3 linked regions of the Nothobranchius furzeri genome follow. The protein of the gene in region 2 interacts with the protein of the main gene of each other region in a pairwise test. Links are inferred from orthologs where the notes say so. Each region holds a gene or a part of one and is shown on either strand. Other genes may lie near its edges.

The links.
Region 1: the proteins of poldip3 (region 2) and exosc8 interact in a two-hybrid assay, tested with the Homo sapiens proteins (2 studies listed by BioGRID). The link is inferred for Nothobranchius furzeri from reciprocal best matches to the Homo sapiens genes POLDIP3 and EXOSC8.
Region 3: the proteins of poldip3 (region 2) and enhancer of rudimentary homolog interact in a two-hybrid assay, tested with the Homo sapiens proteins (2 studies listed by BioGRID, with this or other methods). The link is inferred for Nothobranchius furzeri from reciprocal best matches to the Homo sapiens genes POLDIP3 and ERH.

Annotation. Positions count from the first base shown.
Region 1 is NC_091750.1:62,637,149-62,641,311, reverse strand, and holds exosc8 (exosome complex component RRP43), read right to left. Parts: upstream 2,758-4,163; 5' UTR 2,693-2,757; coding exon 2,676-2,692; intron 2,413-2,675; coding exon 2,376-2,412; intron 2,279-2,375; coding exon 2,215-2,278; intron 2,030-2,214; coding exon 1,956-2,029; intron 1,882-1,955; coding exon 1,836-1,881; intron 1,702-1,835; coding exon 1,596-1,701; intron 1,513-1,595; coding exon 1,467-1,512; intron 1,393-1,466; coding exon 1,296-1,392; intron 1,216-1,295; coding exon 1,095-1,215; intron 1,007-1,094; coding exon 900-1,006; intron 778-899; coding exon 659-777; 3' UTR 558-658; downstream 1-557. UniProt on the Homo sapiens protein: Non-catalytic component of the RNA exosome complex which has 3'->5' exoribonuclease activity and participates in a multitude of cellular RNA processing and degradation events.
Region 2 is NC_091752.1:66,984,432-66,987,280, forward strand, and holds the end of poldip3 (polymerase delta-interacting protein 3), read right to left. Parts: intron 1,374-2,849; coding exon 1,157-1,373; 3' UTR 545-1,156; downstream 1-544. UniProt on the Homo sapiens protein: Is involved in regulation of translation. Is preferentially associated with CBC-bound spliced mRNA-protein complexes during the pioneer round of mRNA translation. Contributes to enhanced translational efficiency of spliced over nonspliced mRNAs.
Region 3 is NC_091758.1:16,818,475-16,822,791, reverse strand, and holds the start of enhancer of rudimentary homolog, read right to left. Parts: upstream 2,930-4,317; 5' UTR 2,801-2,929; coding exon 2,798-2,800; intron 2,378-2,797; coding exon 2,290-2,377; intron 813-2,289; exon of another isoform or gene 680-812; intron 329-679; exon of another isoform or gene 206-328; intron 1-205. UniProt on the Homo sapiens protein: May have a role in the cell cycle.

The sequences.
Region 1 (4,163 bases), on a different chromosome or scaffold from region 2:
CTTTGGAGATGGCAGTCAAAACAAATAAAAAAAGACTTTTTTTCTAACAGAAAAATTTTTATGATTTGGTTCTCAGATGTTTTCTGAAAACCAAACCTTTGTCCACTGTGGGGGAACTGGTTTCTACAGCAGGAAGCCCGAAGCTCTAAGAGCCTTGGTGATATTTTTTTTCAGATGATCAAGAAGAAGACGGGTCTTGTAGGTAACGAGCTTCCACGGTTACATATTTCTACTTTCGGAAGACTTTTCTCTGCCGAGGCCCTGTGGAGTGAGAGGACATTTTAAAGAGAATTTCGCATGAGGCTGCCCTTTAAGCACAGATTAGCAACACCAAGCCGTCCACGTGTCCACGACGTGAAAATGCAAATCTGATCTTGGGGAGTATTCCGGCGCAGGGCTCACGCGAGGACTCAGAGTCATCATGCAAGACGGCGTGCGTTTGTACAGCAGATTTTCAAAAGGTGTTACCTTTTAACAAGGAGCCATGAGCATATTCTTACATGAATTAAGACATCAGCTAAGTGTGCGTGAGACATTTCTGGACACTGAAAAGATAATTTTTTTAAGTCTTTGTCAGCAGTTTTATTGTTATTAAAAAAGAATATATATTGACAGTGGAAAATACAACTTTTAGATAAAAAATGTTGTCTGAGTGTATTTATTGAGCTGTCTTCATGCTTTTTATGACTTTCTCAATAAGTTTGTGGATCTCTCCCTTTCGTGCCGTTGCTCTTTTGATGCACTCCTGCAGCTTCTCTCCCGACAGTGGCGTTCCACCTGGAGGCAAAGTTTGCAGAGCCTTTTATCCCCGTTTTCTCAAAATACTCAAAATAATCTGAAGCTTTATTTCATGGCAGAAGCACCACAAATCTAAAGATCACAGATGTGCCATCTCTGACCTGGTTTATGTAAGGAGCACAGCTGATCTTCCTCATCCATCACCACAGTGAGGCGTGCCGTCGACAGGCTCTCCTCCTCGGCGGTGGGGTCTACGATCAGTATGGAGCTGCACAGGAAAACCAAAAAGGCTTAAAGAAGAACAAAATGGCACTTGTACCTAAAATAAAAATTGAATTGAAATCAAACAAACGTACTCATCAAAGATGCAAAAGGAGACGCTGACTGGATGTCGGTGAATGTTAAGTTTGTGTTTCTTTTCAAAATTCACCTCCGGGGCGGACGTCTCTTTGTTGATGGTGACTTCTGGGAGTTGTGCTGCAGGGAAAGATTACTAAAAGATAGATTTATTTTATTTATTACATGCACCGTTTCAGTAAAGTCTCAACCCTACTTACTGGTTTTCAGGGCAGCCAGAAGGGCGACAACACAAGCATCTAGGATGTTCCCGTCATAGTCGAGACACATGATGTCACAGTAGAGGACCCAGCAGAGCTGCAACAAGATTTAGCAGAATTATGATTGAATATATTACAACAAATAAAGTCCACACATGAGTCTAAAATCACCTTTCCTCGGCCAATGCACAAGTCTTCTTTCTTGATCACCTCAGAGCTGCACGACACATGAAGGTTAAGTCAAAGCAGTGGCAGAAACACTACAGCTGGAAACTAAAGGTGTTTGAAGGCTTAACACACCTCTCAATGATATCAGCGATGAACTGGCTGGCAGCCTGGGCCTGTTCCCCTGGTGGGCCTGGTCGGAAGCGGGACGAACACAGGGGTGGCAGGTCTACATTGGGCACTTTTTTAAAACATATATAGACAGATGATGATGTCATAATAAAATACAGAATCAAACAGAAAATACGAGATAAAGAATTAAGCAATGAAAACCTGATGGAAACAAGGAGGCTGTAAAATGTGTTCAGAACTTACCTATGTAACCTTTACCAGGTGCATCCACAGTAGGGTTAGTCAGCTCCTGCATATGAACACATGACTTTAACACCTAAAGAAATCTTAGCAGTAGCGGTTTGAGTCATTGTGCACCAGTACCGCTTTGATGCCACAGATGATCGTGGTGTTTCCCAGCTTTACCAGAGCGGAGCCGTCTGCAGTGGAAATAGACCCTGAACAGAAAATAAGTAAAAACTGTTACAGCTGGCAGTGATCAGCCCTTTAGGCACTGGAAAATGTTGGAGTTGAAAAAATATGAGCCGACTCATTTTGTATTAGAAGTACATATTATTTTATTTACATCATATCTAAAATTATGTTTTATTACAGGGAGGAAACATTTAATTTATTTTCTTACCAATGTTTAAGGTTGTACTTCTAAATTCAGACAACTCCCGCCCATCAGGTCTACAATTTTCTTTCTGCAAATGAAGCATTTGCAATTACAATGACACTAATAACAATAATAATAACATTTATGGGTTTCTACTGGGTATAGTTTGTATGTATTTGACGAACCAAAAAGCTCCTGTGATACTCCAGAGGCTCCGCCGTCCTGAAAGTTTAAAGAAATTAAATAAGACAAATTAGTAACAAACACGTGCGATCCTGCAATAAACAGCAGACCGATAAATCTAACAAATAAAGTGTACTATCCCGTCACTAGCCCAACTGACGTCACAGAAATGTTGTTTCTGTATTTTTTGACAAGCAAACTAAATTTAGATATAACACTGAACATTAAATATATCGATGATATATATTTGATGAAAATCAAAGTCTGAATATAAAGAAAAATACATGTTAAAAATGACTTACTTGAAACCAGCCGCCATGATGTTTTGATTACCCACGTGAACTACGGTGGCCGCGACGAAACTGTGATTACCAACGACAAGTGTGCATTACCGCCACCAACTGGACTGGAGTTCGGAAATGAACGAAAAACTGGCCAACAAATTCGTCTTTTTCAAAAATGAGTTGGTGTTGTAAGGTCAATAAAACTTTCAAATTGATAACCGGTCACAATTAATAAAGATTAAATAAAACTCGATATATTAATTTGCTAAACAAACAATATTGTAGTGTTTAAACAATTGACAGTGAATAAATATTCCTTACAAACTCCTCTTTCCTAACCGAACAATCCAGAGCAAAATTGTGGATTCTCTTATGTCTTCAAACTGAACTTTTTAGTTAGAATGGTTTGGATCATTCTTTTAAAATACAAAATTAAACTGTTAAACAAGTCATGTGTTTTGATGTTGGTGTGTGTGTGTGTGTGTGTGCGTGCGTGCGTGCGTGCGTGTGTGTGTGTGTGTGTGTGTGTGTGTGTGTGTGTGTGTGTGTGTGTGTGTGTGTGTGTGTGTGTGTGTGTGTGTGTGTGTGTGAGCAGTGCATGCATGGCAACTCGGTTTTCTGATTATTTTCTGCTTTACTGTTTTCTTTACTCAACCTCAAACGAGCAGTTAGATATCTGAAGATTGTCTTGGTCTGTTGATGTTTTGTTGCATTAACCCTCTGATGCATGAATTATGAAATCTTCAACCATGATTTTTTAAACTATTTTTTTCATTCATCTTTAGGTGTGAATGAAACAAATTTCAACAAATATTTTTTGTACCATTTTGTTAATTTACAAATACTTTATTACATGTCCATCTCAGTGGACAATGTGCATTCTGAACATGAAATATGGTGGCTTGACTTACTGAAGTCCAAATGGAAGGGCTCATATGCAATAAAGTCTTCAACAGCTGTGCTTAATAGCAAAAATAAATAAATAACAATTTTGAGTAACTGTCCACTGTAGTGACCGTTATGCACCAAAGGGTTAAGCAGCAAAATAAGCTCAGTTTTTGTGCTGGAGCAGGGAAACAAGTAAAACATGATGGATATGGAATATCGAGGCCCAGGGTTAGAGAGGTGGTGTAAAAAATAGGCGTCATTGCTTTTTAACTTCACTAGCTGGTGGGCCGGTCTCGGCTCAAAACGAACTGGCTGATTTTTTGTCCCAGTCCAGCCCTGTTGGGGACCCATGGTCGGAAATAGATGGGTGTGACTTAGCTTCCCATTGAGCGTGAGACACGTGTCTGACCCCTTTCACACACCTCCTCGTGCATGGAAACCATCACAAGTTGGCAGCCCTGTAGAAAATAACTTAGTTCTCTTGCATTACTCACCTTCTGTTATTCTATCAAAGCTGTTATAACAAATCTGTTAGTAAGCTGGGTTTTGAGAAAAAAAAACACTGTCACAATACACACTCCTCCCCTGCAGGAACTGGCAACTCGTGATGTCGGATGA
Region 2 (2,849 bases):
TCTTTAAATAAAAGTGATGTTTCAACTGTCAAGTACGCGACATTAGCTTTTAAAAAGTTATAATTAAAATCTCAGCTATATGAAGTTGCCAGATTTATAGTGGTTTTCTCCACTTTTAATGCTCCTCTCATCCTGGAAGAAAGACTCGAAGCTCACTAAACTTCTCCGTGTCTGGTTGGATGGTGAATTTGGAGAGATGAACATTTGTAGTTCTATAAGTCTTCTCGCACAATGTTATCCTTGCAGACATCTTCTAGCTTTTAGGTCTGACTGGTTCATCTCTTTTCCTCCAGAGCTGACACACAATGAAGCAGAGATCTAGTTTTGTCTTCTGCAGGTCTGTTTGCTCTGTGGAAGTTCTGCTGTTCAGTAGGTTTCACCAAGTGCATCAACATATGAATACATTTCAGACATTTCTAGATCATATTTATTGATTTTTAACCTCTTACCAAATCCTGAGTTTCTGAAAGCCTAGAAATGAAACAGAGGTTAAAACATTTTACTTCACCGCGGCACGAACAGTGGAAACAAGTCTCACGACAGCTACAAGGCTAGATATTTAATGTTGACCCACCCCCCTCCTCTGATGACAGAACAAGGAAACAACTTAAAAGCAGTTTACAAATGCAAACTGAGAGTAACGTATAAAACAATCAAATTTTAATAGTCTGTCCCAAAAACAACCAGAAGTGGAAAACCAGAGACGTGGTGCTGGAGGTTCTTCCTGTTTGCTGGTAACATCAGTTACTCCTGGAGGCGGCGCAGCGAGAAACTTAAGTCAGAAAAGGACAAAGTGTGATCATTGTTCTGCTAGTTCATAGAAAACTGTAGATGCATGTACTTTTAAACATTAACTTCCAATTCTTCCCAATCTAGCTTTGTTCTAAATGTGCAGATAACTGTAGCACAAAAGAAAAATTCAATAAAAAAAAAAAAAACATCAAATCAAATGTCCACTAGACCGATTTAAATCATCGCTCAACACTTCAACTGGTCCGTTCCGGGGGAACGTGTGACACCAGAGAAGAAAATGTTACTCGTTTAAACGCTTTAAGTCAGAAATGTGTAAAAACCAGCTTGATGACAGAGACCGGGCCGTTCGATAGGATAATCATCGTTTAAAGGTGAACACTGCAGCAGAGCAAACTGGGTTTAGCTAGATCTTGATGCGAAAGGCTGTGGTCTGTGAGCTAGGAGCCTCGGTGGTGGTGGTGGACTGAGTGGTGGACTTGAACAGAGCTTTGAGGATAGTCTGGGGGTCCACCTCCGCTGTGGGCTGAGAAGAAGCCCGCTGACCAGAACCACGGGCCAAAGAAGGGGGAAGACCTTCCTTCTTTGTGCTGCTCCCTGCTCCTGGTGTGTCGCTGAGCCTCCTGGAAGAGCAAACACGGAATATCACCATCAACCTCATACTAGGGCTCAAGGGCGGATTTAGCTATTTGGGGGCCCAAGGCGAACACAGACATGGGGCCCCTTACACTAAATTTTCGACAATCTTACCTTTAACTGGATTTGCGAAACTCTCCCCTCTTCTGACATGAGTTATTTTCCCTTTTTATTAGTCCTCCTCTTTTTTCCTGTATTTCCCTCCCTTTGAGCGCTTTCAGTATTTACTCTGCTTTCTTTTTCCAGTCAGTGCTCCTGTGCTTTAGCCTTCGTTATTTTTTCTTTTCTATTTTCCATTTTGGTCCATGTTTTCCTCACTTTAAACATTTTCCATAGTCTTTCCTTTCTGCTTCCTTTTGATGTTTACATCGAGAAACGACGTCACATTCAGAAGTGAAAATAAAAGCTTTTATGAAGCATGCTGCTCCTTTCTCTTATTGGAGCCACCAGGATAACTCCATGTCATGCTTAATGTTTTGACTATCGCTTTGAGTTTGTTACAAACGCTCCAGCCTCTCTTCTTATTCTTATTTGTGGTCTTATGGCACTTGGCAAACAACAATTTGGTGCATTACCGCCACCAACTGGATTGGAGTGGAATGACTACCAATCACTTCCTGTTTGTGCATCCCCGTCTTAATAACCCTCTTATGACCATAATTATAACAGGGCCGCCTGGTATTTTTTTAAATCTTGTGGCTGTAAAATTGTAATAAAAAGTGCAAAGTGTGTGTAACTCTTCTTTTTTCAGAACAACCTCAGCTTTCAGTGTATGGCTTGTATTTAGAATTTATTTCTATTAAAGCCTTTAAAAAATCAGCTTAAAAGTGAAAAAAGCAAAAATCGGATTAGAATTTTTTTTACATTTATTACTGAACAGGAACTTCAAAATTACTGGGCAAACAATTTAAACTTTAAACTGTAATGCATCTATTCTTTAAAAAAATTGAACCGTGGTATCTTTTTTTTTTTTTAGCAGTTTTTAAGACCATTTATTTTTGTAAACTTTCAGACGTTTTTGTTTGATGTGGTAGGCCTTGAAGCAGTTTCTCTCCAGCTGCAGGCAGAGTGCACCTCACACTGCCATGGGGTGCTTCTCTTGCACACCGTGCACTGCTATACCAAAAACTTTTGTTTTAGCAAAAATAATTATTTATTGTGAAAAGATAAATAATGCTGGAATGATGCTGAATCTTACAATTAGCAAATAGTTGAGGGTTGTTCAAATAAAAAATAAAGACTGAACAAACGTTCATATCCTCGTTCACTGGAGATCTGTCCTTCTTCGTGGTCACCGTCTTCAGATATAAGCCTTCTGGGACACCTAATCGTTCGTGTTGATTTTCTTTGAGGCATTTCCATAATTTCATGCTGGTTTTTATGCTAATTAGCTTCCCCGTCCCGTTATCCGCTTTCACCGCGGCGCTGCGCTCCGTTTCAATCAGGCTGTACAGCAGGATTTC
Region 3 (4,317 bases), on a different chromosome or scaffold from region 2:
AAGTTTTTTGTGCTGCCAAATATCTCATTTAGATTCCAGTTTTGATATTTTAATGGATATTTATAAATTACATTGAATATCACATTTTTGTTGCATGTTTAACTAGCTATTGTGATTAATTAAACTAGCACCTCACTGTTAAAAGCTCGTTCTAATTTCAAGCATGTTTAAGTATTTATGGACATGAACAAAAACAGGAAATATATAAATTGAGATTTATTTAATTAATATAACAAATAAGGGGGAAAGAGTCATTGAAAGGCACATTCTTCTGGAAGTTCCTGATCCTGAGGACACCAGCAGAGACCAGCTGCAGACACCAGAGGACCTAGAACCAAGAGAGCAGCTGTTATCAGTAAATAAATAAAGAAATCAGGGCAGTTTTAGTGGGCTGAACACATTACAGAATAATTTTCTCATGGGGTATTTTCATAACTTTATATGCAGCAGACTGTAACTTGAGCCCAGAGCTACCGGAGAGCTGCTATCCAGCATGTTTCAGTGGATTTTCCTGCTTTAACAGGTTAGATAAGCTGTTAAGCAGCTCAGCTATTTGTTGCTGATTAAAACCAGGTGTGCTGAAGCAGATAAACCTCTAAAACATGCTGAATACTAGCTTTTTAGGGCCGTGGAGACAAACCCTGCAGCTAATCCAATGCTATGGCTAACGGCTACTTACCTTTCAGAGGTGATTCTGTTGGGTCGGTTCTGGGAGTTTCAGGCAACTCACAAGCTCAAAACAATAAGACTCAGGTCCGGTTGTCTCCTCCAAATAGACTTGGTCCCTTTCTTCTCGAGTGTCTGTGTAAGGAGGGGGAGAAACGTCCTCCACTTCTAATAACTGCTCAGAGTGAAGGGAGCTAGCTTCGTCTAGTTAGCCATCGTCTTCGTCACTGCCGCGGCTCCGCCCTCTCGGTCCTCCAGGCAACGCCTACTAATGTTGCATTTTTTAAAATTGATACGTGGGTGGAGAAGGACTCCGAGGCTCAATTGACCCGCTCTTTAAAATACCAAAATTTGCCCATAGCTTATTTTGTTTGTTTGATGTCATCATTTAAAAAATATGAGATCAGATGATACTCAGCAATCAAGTAGCCTTCTAATCAATTACTTTTTTACCCTTGGGTAATTTCTTGGACAGCCACTTTTACTTGAGTAAAATGTGTTGAAGTAGTGCTGCTCTTACTCGAGTACAGTTGTTGGCTACTCTACTCAGCCCCGCCTATGGATCAGGGGCGCACAAACTGTTTCCCTCAGTGGGGCAAAATAAAAATATTTATCTTCCACTCCTATTTATTATTTCCTGGTGTGTTCTTGGTTGTTTCGAGGGTATTACACATACTAATTATAGCACCAGAAACATGTTATATTTACGGAAACCTAAATAAAACCTCGATATCAGAACAGTTGTCTTCAATTTGTGTCCTTCCAATGAGATTTGCAGATTTGGGAAAAAGTCATCAGGCAGTAATCATTGTTAAATTCATAATAATGCAGCGAGAGTCAATCTATTGCATTGGTGACTAACTCTTATCTGCCTACTGGGAGACCCGTAATGCATAGTGTCATTTCAATCTGGGGTTGTCCGTGGCACGGTTTATATGCTGGCAGTGGGTGCTATGGCTGCACTATAAGGCAACTCGTTGCATTCTCACTCAACCCAAAGTCCTCACATCATGCATTTAAATAAAGTGCTAACGTTAACTTGCCTTGCATTGACTGTAGAGTTGTAGGTGATGGTCACGCAGATGTGTCATGAGATTTGATGTATTGTGGCCTTTTGCAGACATTTTTTCCTGCACGTGCTGCAAACAGGATCGTCGTCTTTCAGCTTTAGCTTCAAGAAAGTTTTGGTTGCAAACTAGAAAGCGAGCATGTGCGGCACCTTCAGCCGCACATGATACGGTGGCTGGTATGGGTCACCGTGCCTATACTGCGGCCACGGTAATCCACCGAGATAATATATCTTTTTTAAAAAACAAGATGGTTATTATTATTGACACCATTTTTACCGGGGTTTACCGCTACACCCGTTACCGTGACATCCCTAGCTCTTCTCTAGTGACAAAGCCCTGAAATGGCTCAATCTGGAAAGTACTGAAAATATAAACGAAAGAGGTGGTGAGGTAACTTTATGAAAGGGATTATGCAAGGAAAAACTGCTATGAACATGTTTTGTATCGAACATTGAAAAACTGTAACTGTAAAAAATTCATATGTTCCCTTTTAAAGCTTTCAGCTTCTAAGTGGGATTATTATAGCACTAGAATCAGTTCATCCTTAACTTACCCTCCATGCACTCGTTGACCGACTCATAATCAGCATATGTCCGCCCTTCAGGCCTCTTCGTGGGCTGAACCAGCAGAATAGTGTGAGACTGGAAGAAAAAAACAAAAACAAATCTATTCTATGATTTTTAGAAGACAGGAAAAGATTCTGGGGAGAATTACAACCACCAATAACACGTGACCATCTTTAGTAAAATGCTGTAAAATGACGGAAATGTCAGTAAAATGTTGAATTTTTATCCGTAATTATTAAATAATAACTCAATCACGCGTGTTTAAGGACAAAATATTGAAATAAAATGAAAACTAACTATCATATTTTAGAGCCCGTTTAACAATAAAACTGTTGTTATGTCTGTGTCGGTTCTGCTGATAGCAGCTAAATATGCCTCCATCCACCCTGTAAAGTTAGCGAACGCATTCTAAAGAATATAAAAACAAAAACAAGAATCTAACGAAATATTCTAGATTAATAATTAAATATAAATATAAATTAAATATAAATCTACCATGCTTTCAGACGCTTTCCACTCGTCTTTGGTTGAATTCCTCAGACGTTTGCTCCGTCCGAGAGATTTGACCTTTCTCCCGGAAGCACAACTAGTCAACAATCATTTTTATTTTATCTTATGTTTGGTTACTTTAAAGCTTTTTCACAACTAATGTGTAGTTTAAAATAATATTTAACAATCATAATAATAATCATAGTTCACCAAAACAAAAGCAAAAGATCATTTTGCATCACCTGACTGCGTGAACTGGAAGTAGTAACTCAGCGGCCGGATGTTCTGGTAGAGAACGGCATTAACAAAAAGGGAGAGCCCAGTTTTAAACCTGCTGAGCAACCCAAAATAACAGAAGTAAAACACTGCTCGTTGGAGGTAAGAGTGTGTTTTTAGGAATGATTTTAAATTTTTTGGCTTTCATTAGAGCTCTGTAGGCTATCCCAGGTTAGCCACCTAGCTCCGCAGCTGTCTGCTGTAATGACAGGTTCGGCTAACGTTAACTAGTCATTGTTGTCATTTCCTGGCGATAAAACACACACGCGATTACTGAATAGTATAGCTTGCATGTGGTGTCATTTATTACTCGCATATAGGCCGTAATGAATTATAATATATTAATGAACTATGCTCACCAGATGTTTCATCCGTCCCGTAAATAATGCTCTATTGTTTGGTAAATAAAAATAAAAACTCAAAAGTATGTTAAATCGCTTCTAAATGGAGTGAGTGAGTCCCAGGAGTCATTATTGCACAAAAAACTACAAATCTTTGATTAAACAAGTGGCTGAAGAAGCTCTTTATGTGGATTATTTTAAGCTCGATTGACGGTGTGATATAAACATTGTTTACAGTTAGATCGCAGCTCATTTTAACCTCTAATATTATTATTTTTACTAAGCTTGAATATTTAATTCCATACCCAGTCACACTACTTATGTGTATTCTGGTATTTATAAATACCTGAGTTGTAAATCAATCTATATTTTTGTCAAATTGTTAGATAATATTTGCACATTTTAAGTAATCCATTGATAAAGCCAATTAGACTATTCTTCCAAAACCCTTTCTGAGAAGGAAGTTTAAACTTTGGAGACAATATATTCATATAATTATACTCCAGTCATTTCCTTTTCAGTCCCAAACAAACAGATAGCCATTCAGGACCCTTATCTCCCTTTATGGTACCTGATACACGCACACACACGCACGCACGCACGCACACACACACACGCACGCACGCACACACACACACACACACACACACACACACACACACACACACACACACACACACACACACACACACACCAGTCCCATTACATTTGAGCCAAACACTTGGCCAGAAGGAACTCTGGAAAGTCTTTTTCTACATTGTTTTGCCACCTGAGGATTTTTGTTGCAAGGTTTTTCAAAATGTTTAAGCAACAATTTTGCTTCAGGCTGCTCGTTGCAACAGGGGGAAGGAAACGGCAAGATTGTATAACTGCAATGATGAACGCTACTAAAATGGGTGCAGCCGATCT